Oryzias latipes: one gene and its partner. The protein of the gene in region 2 interacts with the protein of the main gene of each other region in a biochemical or structural test. Links are inferred from orthologs where the notes say so. Each region holds a gene or a part of one and is shown on either strand. Other genes may lie near its edges. The genes, in order: mcmbp and mcm5.

The links.
Region 1: the proteins of mcm5 (region 2) and mcmbp form a complex in vitro, tested with the Homo sapiens proteins (2 studies listed by BioGRID). The link is inferred for Oryzias latipes from reciprocal best matches to the Homo sapiens genes MCM5 and MCMBP.

The regions. Positions count from the first base shown.
Region 1 is NC_019873.2:29,884,334-29,888,929, forward strand, and holds the start of mcmbp (mini-chromosome maintenance complex-binding protein), read right to left. Parts: upstream 3,029-4,596; 5' UTR 2,876-3,028; coding exon 2,818-2,875; intron 2,180-2,817; coding exon 2,088-2,179; intron 2,019-2,087; coding exon 1,878-2,018; intron 1,796-1,877; coding exon 1,754-1,795; intron 1,681-1,753; coding exon 1,591-1,680; intron 1,516-1,590; coding exon 1,392-1,515; intron 1,314-1,391; coding exon 1,168-1,313; intron 1,099-1,167; coding exon 1,001-1,098; intron 930-1,000; coding exon 757-929; intron 1-756. Other genes in the region: sec23ip (SEC23-interacting protein), read left to right, coding at 3,442-3,574, 4,134-4,596. UniProt on the Homo sapiens protein: Associated component of the MCM complex that acts as a regulator of DNA replication.
Region 2 is NC_019866.2:21,037,920-21,042,392, reverse strand, and holds the start of mcm5 (DNA replication licensing factor MCM5), read right to left. Parts: upstream 2,997-4,473; 5' UTR 2,843-2,996; coding exon 2,670-2,842; intron 2,495-2,669; coding exon 2,368-2,494; intron 2,287-2,367; coding exon 2,158-2,286; intron 2,084-2,157; coding exon 1,911-2,083; intron 1,836-1,910; coding exon 1,680-1,835; intron 1,604-1,679; coding exon 1,434-1,603; intron 1,348-1,433; coding exon 1,176-1,347; intron 1,086-1,175; coding exon 974-1,085; intron 900-973; coding exon 756-899; intron 689-755; coding exon 623-688; intron 554-622; coding exon 377-553; intron 296-376; coding exon 183-295; intron 90-182; coding exon 1-89. UniProt on the Homo sapiens protein: Acts as a component of the MCM2-7 complex (MCM complex) which is the replicative helicase essential for 'once per cell cycle' DNA replication initiation and elongation in eukaryotic cells.

The DNA of each region.
Region 1 (4,596 bases), on a different chromosome or scaffold from region 2:
CAGATGTGTAAGAGGTGGAGCGGGGGGGGACAGACGTGTAAGGAGGGTGGAGCAGGGGGGCAGATGTGTAAGGAGGGTGGAGCAGGTGGGGGGCAGACGTGTAAGAGGTGGAGCGGGGGGGCAGATGTGTAAGAGGTGGAGCGGGGGGGCAGATGTATAGAGGTGGAGCAGGGGGGGCAGATGTATAGAGGTGGAGGAGGGGGGGCAGACGTGTAAGGAGGGTGGAGAGGAGGGGGCAGACGTGTAAGAGGTGGAGCGGGGGGGGCAGACGTGTAAGGAGGGTGGAGCGGGGGGGGGCAGACGTGTAAGGAGGTGGAGCAAGGGGGGCAGATGTGTAAGAGGTGGAGGGGGGGGGCAGACGTGTAAGGAGGGTGGAGCAGGGGGGGCAGATGTGTAAGGAGGGTGGAGCAGGTGGGGGCAGACGTGTAAGGAGGGTGGAGCAGGGGGGGCAGACGTGTAAGGAGGGTGGAGCAGGGGGGGGGGCAGACGTGTAAGGAGGGTGGAGCAGGGGGGGCAGATGTGTAAGAGGTGGAGCGGGGGGGGGGAGACGTGTAAGGAGGGTGGAGAAGGGGGGGGCAGACGTGTAAGGAGGGTGGAGCAGGGGGGGGGGCAGATGTCCTCCAGGTCAAACGTCTTGAGTTCCTGCGTGATGCTGATGAATTTCCACGGAAGCGACAGAATTTACTGGTTTTGGTGTTTCGGCGTTTTCTTCTAGTCTGGAATCATTTCTGTTTCTACAAAAACACGCGTCCTTACAGGCGCCGTTGTCGTCCGAGGTTGCGTGCGGCAGCAGCGGGTTGTTGTGTTGCAGCGGTTTGGCGTGGAGCACGTGAAGCCGGGGAACGAGCGAGGCCGGCGGGCTGTGCACACGCTGCTCCTCCGCCGTCTCCATGCCCTCCGTGGGGTCCAGGAAGGACGAGGAGGCGTCTCTGCGAGGAAGAAAGGCGGTGAGACGGGCAGCACGCAGACAGGGGGCGGGGCTACGAAGCGAGGGCCTCACCTCTCCTCCGCCAGGGCGCTGAGAGCGGGACTGACGGACAGGATCCCGAAAACCTCCAGGGCGTCGTTCAGCTTGAAGCTCTCCCAGTCTTCGTACACCTGCCAACGAGCACAGCCTGAGGATCAGGGTTCCCACCGGAGCCACCAACGCGCTCGTCCAGCTCCAACCTTCACCAGGCAGGCGGGGCCCCTCTCTCCTGGGAGGGGGAAGTTGAGGTCGAGGTGGGATGCGGACGCCGCCTGGGTGGGAGGAGCCTCCGTCTCTTGACGCTTACAGTCGGCGTTGCTCTGCAGGTCCGTTGGACCCTGAAGACCTGCAGAAATATTTGGAGAACGTTTGAGGGGGGAGGACGCCTAAGGTTCGACACCCAGCAGACGGCGAAGACAAACACCTGCGTGAGCTTGCTTCTGCGGCTGCGTGTCCATGTCCTCGTCCTCCTCGTAGCTGCGTTTCTGCCTGCTCGGCACGTAGGAGGTGGACGCCACCACGCGCGCCTGGCTGCTGCCCGCATATCCGTGCTCTCAGGTTAAGGAACAACACACAACTGTTCACACTGTCATCAGAGAACCTGATCCCTGATCCCAGGATATGTCCTTCACCCACAGGTTCTCCCCAGGAATGGGCACACAGTAGAAGGTCTGCCGCTCTGCCGTCACGGTGTTCTTGGAGTTAAAGTCCACCTGGGATTCAAACCAACAGCTGAGCTGAAGCGGCTGCACCACCTTTGAGGACAGCAGCAGGATGCAGACTCACCCCACATTCTGCCACATCCCTGTACTTCCCACAGTGCAGCATCTGGGGGTCAAACAGGACAAATGAGGGGGAGGGGGGTCAGCTGATGCTAGAGATGTGGGGGGGGGGGGGGGGGCACACTCACTTTAGCATCCGTGGGTCCGTCCACAGTCTCATACACTCCCATGTAGAACTCCGGGTCAAACATGTCCTGGATGAAGCAGCGAAACTTCACCAAACTGTTGGGCTTCAGGTAATGCAGGGGAACGTCGTTGAGAGACGGAACCTGGTCCAGAAAAGGACAAGGTCAGAACCGGACGGCCGGTGAAGACGCCGTCTGCAGGACTCTCCTCACCAAACTCTGAGCGCTCTTCTCCTTCAGCTGCTCCTTAAAAAACTCCACCACCTCCGCCTCCCACCCGGGGGAGGAACCCTTCTGCGCAGCCGCTGCAGCATCAAAGGAAGACGTCATTTCCGGCAGCAAATGAATGCTGCTGAAGGTTTAAACTACGGTTTGCATTTTATATTAACATGTGTGAATGTGTCATTTTATTCGATCGTTTAAAAAAAATGTTAAAATAACAAACACATTGGCATTAAAAATGAAATAAAGTAAATGTTTAATGAACTTCAAGATTGTTGGTTTCGTTCTTCATGAAGGAATTCGTCATCATCAGAGACTGTATATATGAAGTCACTTCAAAAGAACCAGTATGACAAAACAAAAACGTCTTTAGATCTAACAAAAAGTTGACGAACCCCGAACGACATTTCTACAGTCAGTAAAGGTTTCCGCGCGCCCGATTCTCGTCTATGTCCACCGACTGTGTCAATAAAGTTTTAAACTGATGCACCGCGGGCAGCGGCACCAGTGCGTCAGTTTCAGTGTCTTTGTGTGAAATGTAATAATAACCACCTGGTTTATTCCTTTCTTGTTGCTGTTTTGCATTGTTGTGTATTGAAATGTTACATTTAATAAAGTTTGTAAAGGAAAAAAAAAAAGCTCCATGTGAGGGCGGCTGGACGCGCGCGCGGCTAACGAGCTAGTCTGAGGCGTTAAGTGTTTGTGGAGGGAAGTTTCTCACCAAACTTCTCTTCAACAACACCGAGAGGTGCGTGAATCCAGTCCTGCGTGGAAAGCATCGCTAACCGGCCACTGAACCCGTGGAATCAAAGACAAACGTGCGAGGAAAACCCGCGCGGCTTCACTTCTCCGATAAGTTTTTCACTCACTCGGGATTGCAGAAGCGAGGCGCGAAATTTGCGTCACTGCGCACCAAGAGGGGGTTGGTTTGATTCGAGAACCGGAGTAAACCGGAGCGCGGAGCCACAAGCAACTTTTTGCTTTTGTTCACCGCCCTAAAAACTGGTTTGGATTCCGAAGTCGTTACAAATTAAGTAGAAATTTGTTATCTCTCACGAGATTTTACTTTGTTCTGACAAAAGAAGAAAAAAGGTGCAAAAAAAAAACCAAAGGAGTTTGAATCATCATCCGGGCCTCTAGATGGCAGCACCAAAAACATTGATCCCCTCGGGTCAAGCCAATCGGGTATGTTTCGAAGATTTATAAAACATCTGCTAAGATGTTTACTGAAATCTAGTGTCGCGTGAGTGTTGGAGATCGGGGAAAACTGTGACGTCAGGAGACGTTTCTTTCGCATTTACTGCCAGCCTGGTCCGGTTGTGGCTACGTGTAAATCCAGCTGAAAATGGCAGATAGAAAAAATAACAGTGGTCCCGACAGCAGCGCGAATTTACTCTTTAGTGCCGCTCCAGACTTTAGCTTTAACCTGCCTTTCATGCCGGTGAGTCAGGCGTCGGGCCCGGCGGTGCTGTCAGGAGGTGAGCGGAACCGCGGACGGAGGTCCGAATGTTGTCAGGGCGAGAGCTAGCTAGCTAAGCTAGCCGGTTAGCTAGCTGTGCTGCTTCAGCCTTTAAAAACCCTCAGATTGAGAGAAAAGATGAAAAAGTGACGCGTTTTATCTGCAACACTGGATCTGCTTTTGTTAAAAGAAAATGAGTCAGTTTAAACATTTTTAGTGAAGAGTTGTAAATGGATGAACTTTGTTCAGATTTAAAACAATGTTGTTGTTAAAATGCTGGAATCTGTCTTTTAGAGATTTATTTTATTTATATATTATACATGTATTTTAGTGAAGTCAACATGCTTATTGCCTGAAAACCACTCGATAACATCCTGTTTGATCGTTTCCACTTAGGAAAGGATCACACAGGATGTCATGGTGCTCATAAAAGTTTAGAATCATATGGAGAAAGCTGGAAATGTTGTGGACGGCGGTGAAGCTTCACTCCTGAAGTTTGATGTTTAGAGAAGCCTCACAGAAACCCTGACCTGCAGTTTCAGTGTCAGAAAACGTTGACCCGTCTTTGTGTCCATCAGAAGACTCTACTGACGTTGGAGAAGAAGACAGTTTCCTGGGTCAGACCTCGGCCAACGGTCCGCCGGCGGCCTCCTCCACCTTCAGCTACTTCTCCAACCCCGTAACGACCTCTGACCCCTTTGCCAGTATTGGTCAGTCACCATGCCCGCCAGCAGGACGCTCCTCGACCTTAACCGCTGCTGGACCCGTTTCTTTTCCCAGCAGCATCGCCATGTCTCCGCCATCCACAGCTTCACAAATGAACCCCCCTCCCTCAACGTTTGGCAGTGCTGTTTACCAGAGTCCGCTGGGACGACAGACTCCTCCCCCTACAACGATGACCCCGCCTCCTGCTCAGATGCAGCCGCAGCATCACAACCCGTACCGCCACACGGCGTCCAGCAGCAGAGCCAGTCCTTACATTCCAGCTCCAGAGATCCTGCCCCCACCTCACACACCCCAGCAGGCTCCGACCTCTTTCAG
Region 2 (4,473 bases):
TTTCATGCTCTCGGGCGCCACTCCTCATCACCACGTATCTGTTTTTCAGCTTCTCAGCAGCTGCCGCGGAGAGTCGGGGGCCACATTTACTGTGAGGGAACACGCAGAACACACTCTTTACTCCACAAAATCCACAGGAAACTAAACTTTAAAGCGGTCTGGCTGCAGAATGAGTGACTCACGCTCTGGCGTAGGCGATGTATTTCTTAAAGGTGGCGAGAGGAATCTCGCCCTCGACTCCTTCCGTCTGCGTCTGCGCACTCAGGTGGACGTTCATCACGTGGCGAGCCAGCGTCTGCGAGCAGAGTCAGGCGGCAAAGTCAGCGGAAGCACTAAAGAGAATTGAAGCATCAAACCTCCCGTCGCGTCCTCTCACCATGTCTCGCTGCTGGTCGTGGTGGTCCTTGATGATGAAGATCATGTCGAAGCGGGACAGGATGGTGGGCATGAAGTCGATGTTGTCCTCGCCTTTGGTGTCGTCCCAGCGGCCATACACAGAGTTGGCCGCCGCCAGCACGGAGCAGCGGGAGTTCAGGGTGGTGGTGATTCCAGCCTAAAGGCCGCAGACTATTAGCATTTTTCCAATGAAGCCCAATAAGGAGGTCAAACTTAAGGCGGTTACCTTAGCGATGGAGATGGTCTGCTGCTCCATGGCCTCGTGGATCGCCACTCTGTCGTCTTCTCTCATCTGAGGAGAAAAACAGCCTGAAGGACGAGCAACCCCGATGCTGCCCCCCAGCTCACCCTGGACCTACCTTATCAAACTCATCAATGCAAACGACACCACCATCCGCCAGCACCATAGCCCCTCCCTCCATGATGAATCCACGAGTGCTGGGGTCTCTCAGCACGGAGGCGGTCAGCCCAGCTGCACTGCTGCCCTTACCTGATGTATAAACCTGCAAGTGAGAGTCAGCATCAGAACTTTTTTCCCTCCGGATAATTAAAAAAAAAAAAAAACACAAACAAATACCCCGATCGGTGAGCATCTCTCCACAAACTTAAGCAGCTGGGATTTGGCTGTTCCAGGGTCTCCAAGCATCAGCAGGTTGATGTCTCCTCTGCGCGTGAGACCGTCAGGTAACCTAACAGACACAAGAACAGACTCTTAGCTTCAAAACAACATCGTTGCAGCAGCAACAAAAATGAAGAAATAAACCGTTCTATCGCCGTACCTCTTTCTCGAGCCTCCAAACAGCAGACAGGTGATGGCCTTCTTCAGATCGTCGCTGCCATAGATGGAGGGAGCGAGGGACTGCGCCAGGGAGCTGTAGATGTTGGGAGAGGTAGACAACGCTCTCAGCTCTTCTTCCTCCTGTGCAGAGACGGGTCCGGTGGCGCCGCGGCCTGCAGCCAAGAAACAAGAAGATAAAATGACCCCCCAAACCTAACAATGTGCTTCTCACAACCAACCCTGTCATCGGGATCTTTACCTGCTCCTTCCGTGTCCACCTGGATGCCAACGACTCGCAGGTAAGATGAACGAATTCCCACGCCGATACCCTTTTCTTTGCCTTTGGCCTTTACAGCAGCCATTTTTTTGATAGAGTAGATGCCCATGATGGTCACTCGGTTGCCCGGGACCACGCGGTCACACAGGTACCTGGGGACGGAGGAAAACCTCAGTGGCGTGCCGCAAAAGCAACGGAGCAGCAGACTCCGGTGATCTCCATGGCTACCTGTCGCAGTAGAGCTGCAGGTGGCGCGGCATCTCTCCGTGCGGCACAGCATCGGGAGACTCCTGCAGGCGGAGCGTCTGGAAGTCCACGCACACGCAGCGGTCCGGGATGATGAAGTATGGATCCATGGGACACTTCACTCTGCCAGCATTCTCGCTGAAAACACAGAAGGTCGTTTTGAGGCTGAGTCGTCTAGCAGGGTCAACCTGAGACCGGAATGCGATTCCTCACCTGTTGCATTTTCTGGGCAGAGCGTAACCCTGCAGGCCCGGAGGCAGGGGGATGTTGGGGATGACGCTGCGGCAACCGCGGCACTGCAGGCACACCTTGGTGGCCTTCGCCTTGACTGCTGTGGCAGAAATGATGATGCCGTGGACCTTCACCAGACGGGACACTTGCTCCGACTGGAAAGACACACAGAAAGGTGATCCATGTGTGGAATGACTGCAACGTCGGGCACAGCAGGGTCCTAAGGTACCTTCAGGTTCCGGATGGATGTGTGGTGGGCATCGCTCTTCAACATGACCTGGATGTCCTGCACCGCCTCCTCCCCCACAGGTCGGGGTCGGGTCACCTCATCGGCCACCTCCTTAGCTGCTTCCTCCAGCTTAAGAGATACGTTTTATCTATACATTAGTCGTGAGTCAGACTTTCATGACCGCATAAAAATGTGAACTAGGATACTCACCAACGGCAGGTTCTCAGTAGGAAGTTTGTAAAGGCAGTCAGACAGATCTTCATCAAAGCTGGCAAGATCCTCCACCTCCACCTCCAACCAGAACTCCCCCAAAGTGTAATGTCGCTTCAGCTCATCTCTGCGGAACAACAGGAGACAATCAGGACTTTTGAGCTTCTAAAGCAGATGTTTTAATCATATAACTACATTTCCCATAATGCAACTGCCTCGTGATATAGCACCACTTCACTTATCGTTTACTTTGAAAGTAGATGCAGATTTGAGAACCGCTTTGAGTTCATAAGGAGCCTGACCTGTATTTGTAAGTGAACCCGGTTTGGTCAGTTCCCTCTCTGAACTGACGCAGGAACTCTCGGAACCGCTTCTTGATCTGGACCCGCTTCTGTCCACCTTCGTCCCCGCCGGGTCCCTCTCCCCCGCCGAAGCTGTCGCTGTAGTAAACGCCGGGGTCGTCAAAGCCAGACATGCTGAAGCGGCTGAAGCTGACACCAAAAGTTGTGCTTTTCTGGAGCCAAACAGACAGGAAGGACCCGACTTTGTGACGACGTTTCGCGGGAAAAACTGAAGCGTCTTCCTTTCTGTTTCCCGCGGGTTCTCTGCTAGTTCCGCCCCTTTCCTAGACTCTGATTGGTCAGGTTCAAACATAGCTTTTCTTTATTTGTCGAACATGTAGATATGGGCGAACTCTTCAGCTGAAGGCGGGGCGCTGAGTCGCGATGGCGCGAAAAACAGAAGAGGAGGAGCTTCTGAAGCATGGCGACAGCAGAAAAGCAAAATAACAAAGAAGGGCCACGAGCTTAGAGAAACCTAATGACACATTTTCTCCTAGATGTAGAATTTGAAGTGAGACAGTGAAACCCATGCAAGCACAGTTTATTTTGAGTTAATTAAAGCAACTTTTTCCACATAAAGTTACATTTTTATCAATGATAAGGCAACTTAAATGTGAAATGTGTTAACCTAATAGGAAAACATTACAGCTGCTGATGGATGACGCTTCAGCCTTCTAGCACCTCTTTTGTCTTTGTTCTGCTTCAAAATAAGATCTGAATATGTTCAGTGGGGCAAAAAAGTATTTAGTCAGCCTTGTGCAAGTTCTCCCACTGGAGATGAGAGAGGCCTGTAATTTTCATCATAGGTATACATCAACTATGAGAGACAAAATGACATCTATGACTCCCCAGAAGATCTCCCCCGTGGGCTCCCCCGTGAGCAAAAATCCCAGAACCACATGAGGGACCTGGTGAATGACCTGCAGAGAGCTGGGGCCAAAGTAACAAAGGCTACCATCAAAAACACACTACAACGCCAGGGACTCAAACCCTGCAGTGCCAGACGTGTCCCTCTGATAAAGCCAGTACATGTGCAGGCCCATCCAAAGTTTGCTAGAGAGCATTTGGATGATCCAGAAGAGGATTGGGAGAATGTCCTATGTTCAGATGAAACCAAAATAGAACTTTTTGATAGAACTCTACTCGTCGGTTCGGAGGAGAAAGAATGCAGAGTTGCATCCAAAGAACACCATACCTACTCTAAAGCATGGGGGTGGAAACATGATGTTTGGGGCTGCTTTTCAGCAAAGGGACCAGGACGACAGATTTGTGTAAAGGAAAGAATGAATGGGGCCATGTATGGTCAGTCAAAGTGACCTTGGGCAAGACACTGAATCCCACCTTGCCTTTGGTGGGAGGTTGGTGCCAGTTTTCAGCAGCAGAGCCGCCACCAGTGTGTGAATGCGTGTGTGACTGGGTGAATGGGTCTGTGACTGTAAAGCGCTTTGGGCCTTGAAGAAGGTAGAAAAGGGCTATATAAGTATACGCCATTTACCATTTACCAATCCCAAACACACTGCCCGGGTAATGAAGGAACGGCTTTGTAAGAAACATTTCAAGGTCCTGGAGTGGTCTAGCCAGTCTCCAGGTCCCAACCCCATAAAAGTTCTTTGGAGAGAGTTGAAAGTCTGTGATGCCCAGCGACAGCTCCAAAACATCACTGCTCTAGAGGAGATCTGCATGGAGGAATGGGCCAAAACAACTGTAAAAGATTATGTAAACCCTGTGAAAGCTTACAGAAAATGTTTGACTGCTGTCATTGCCA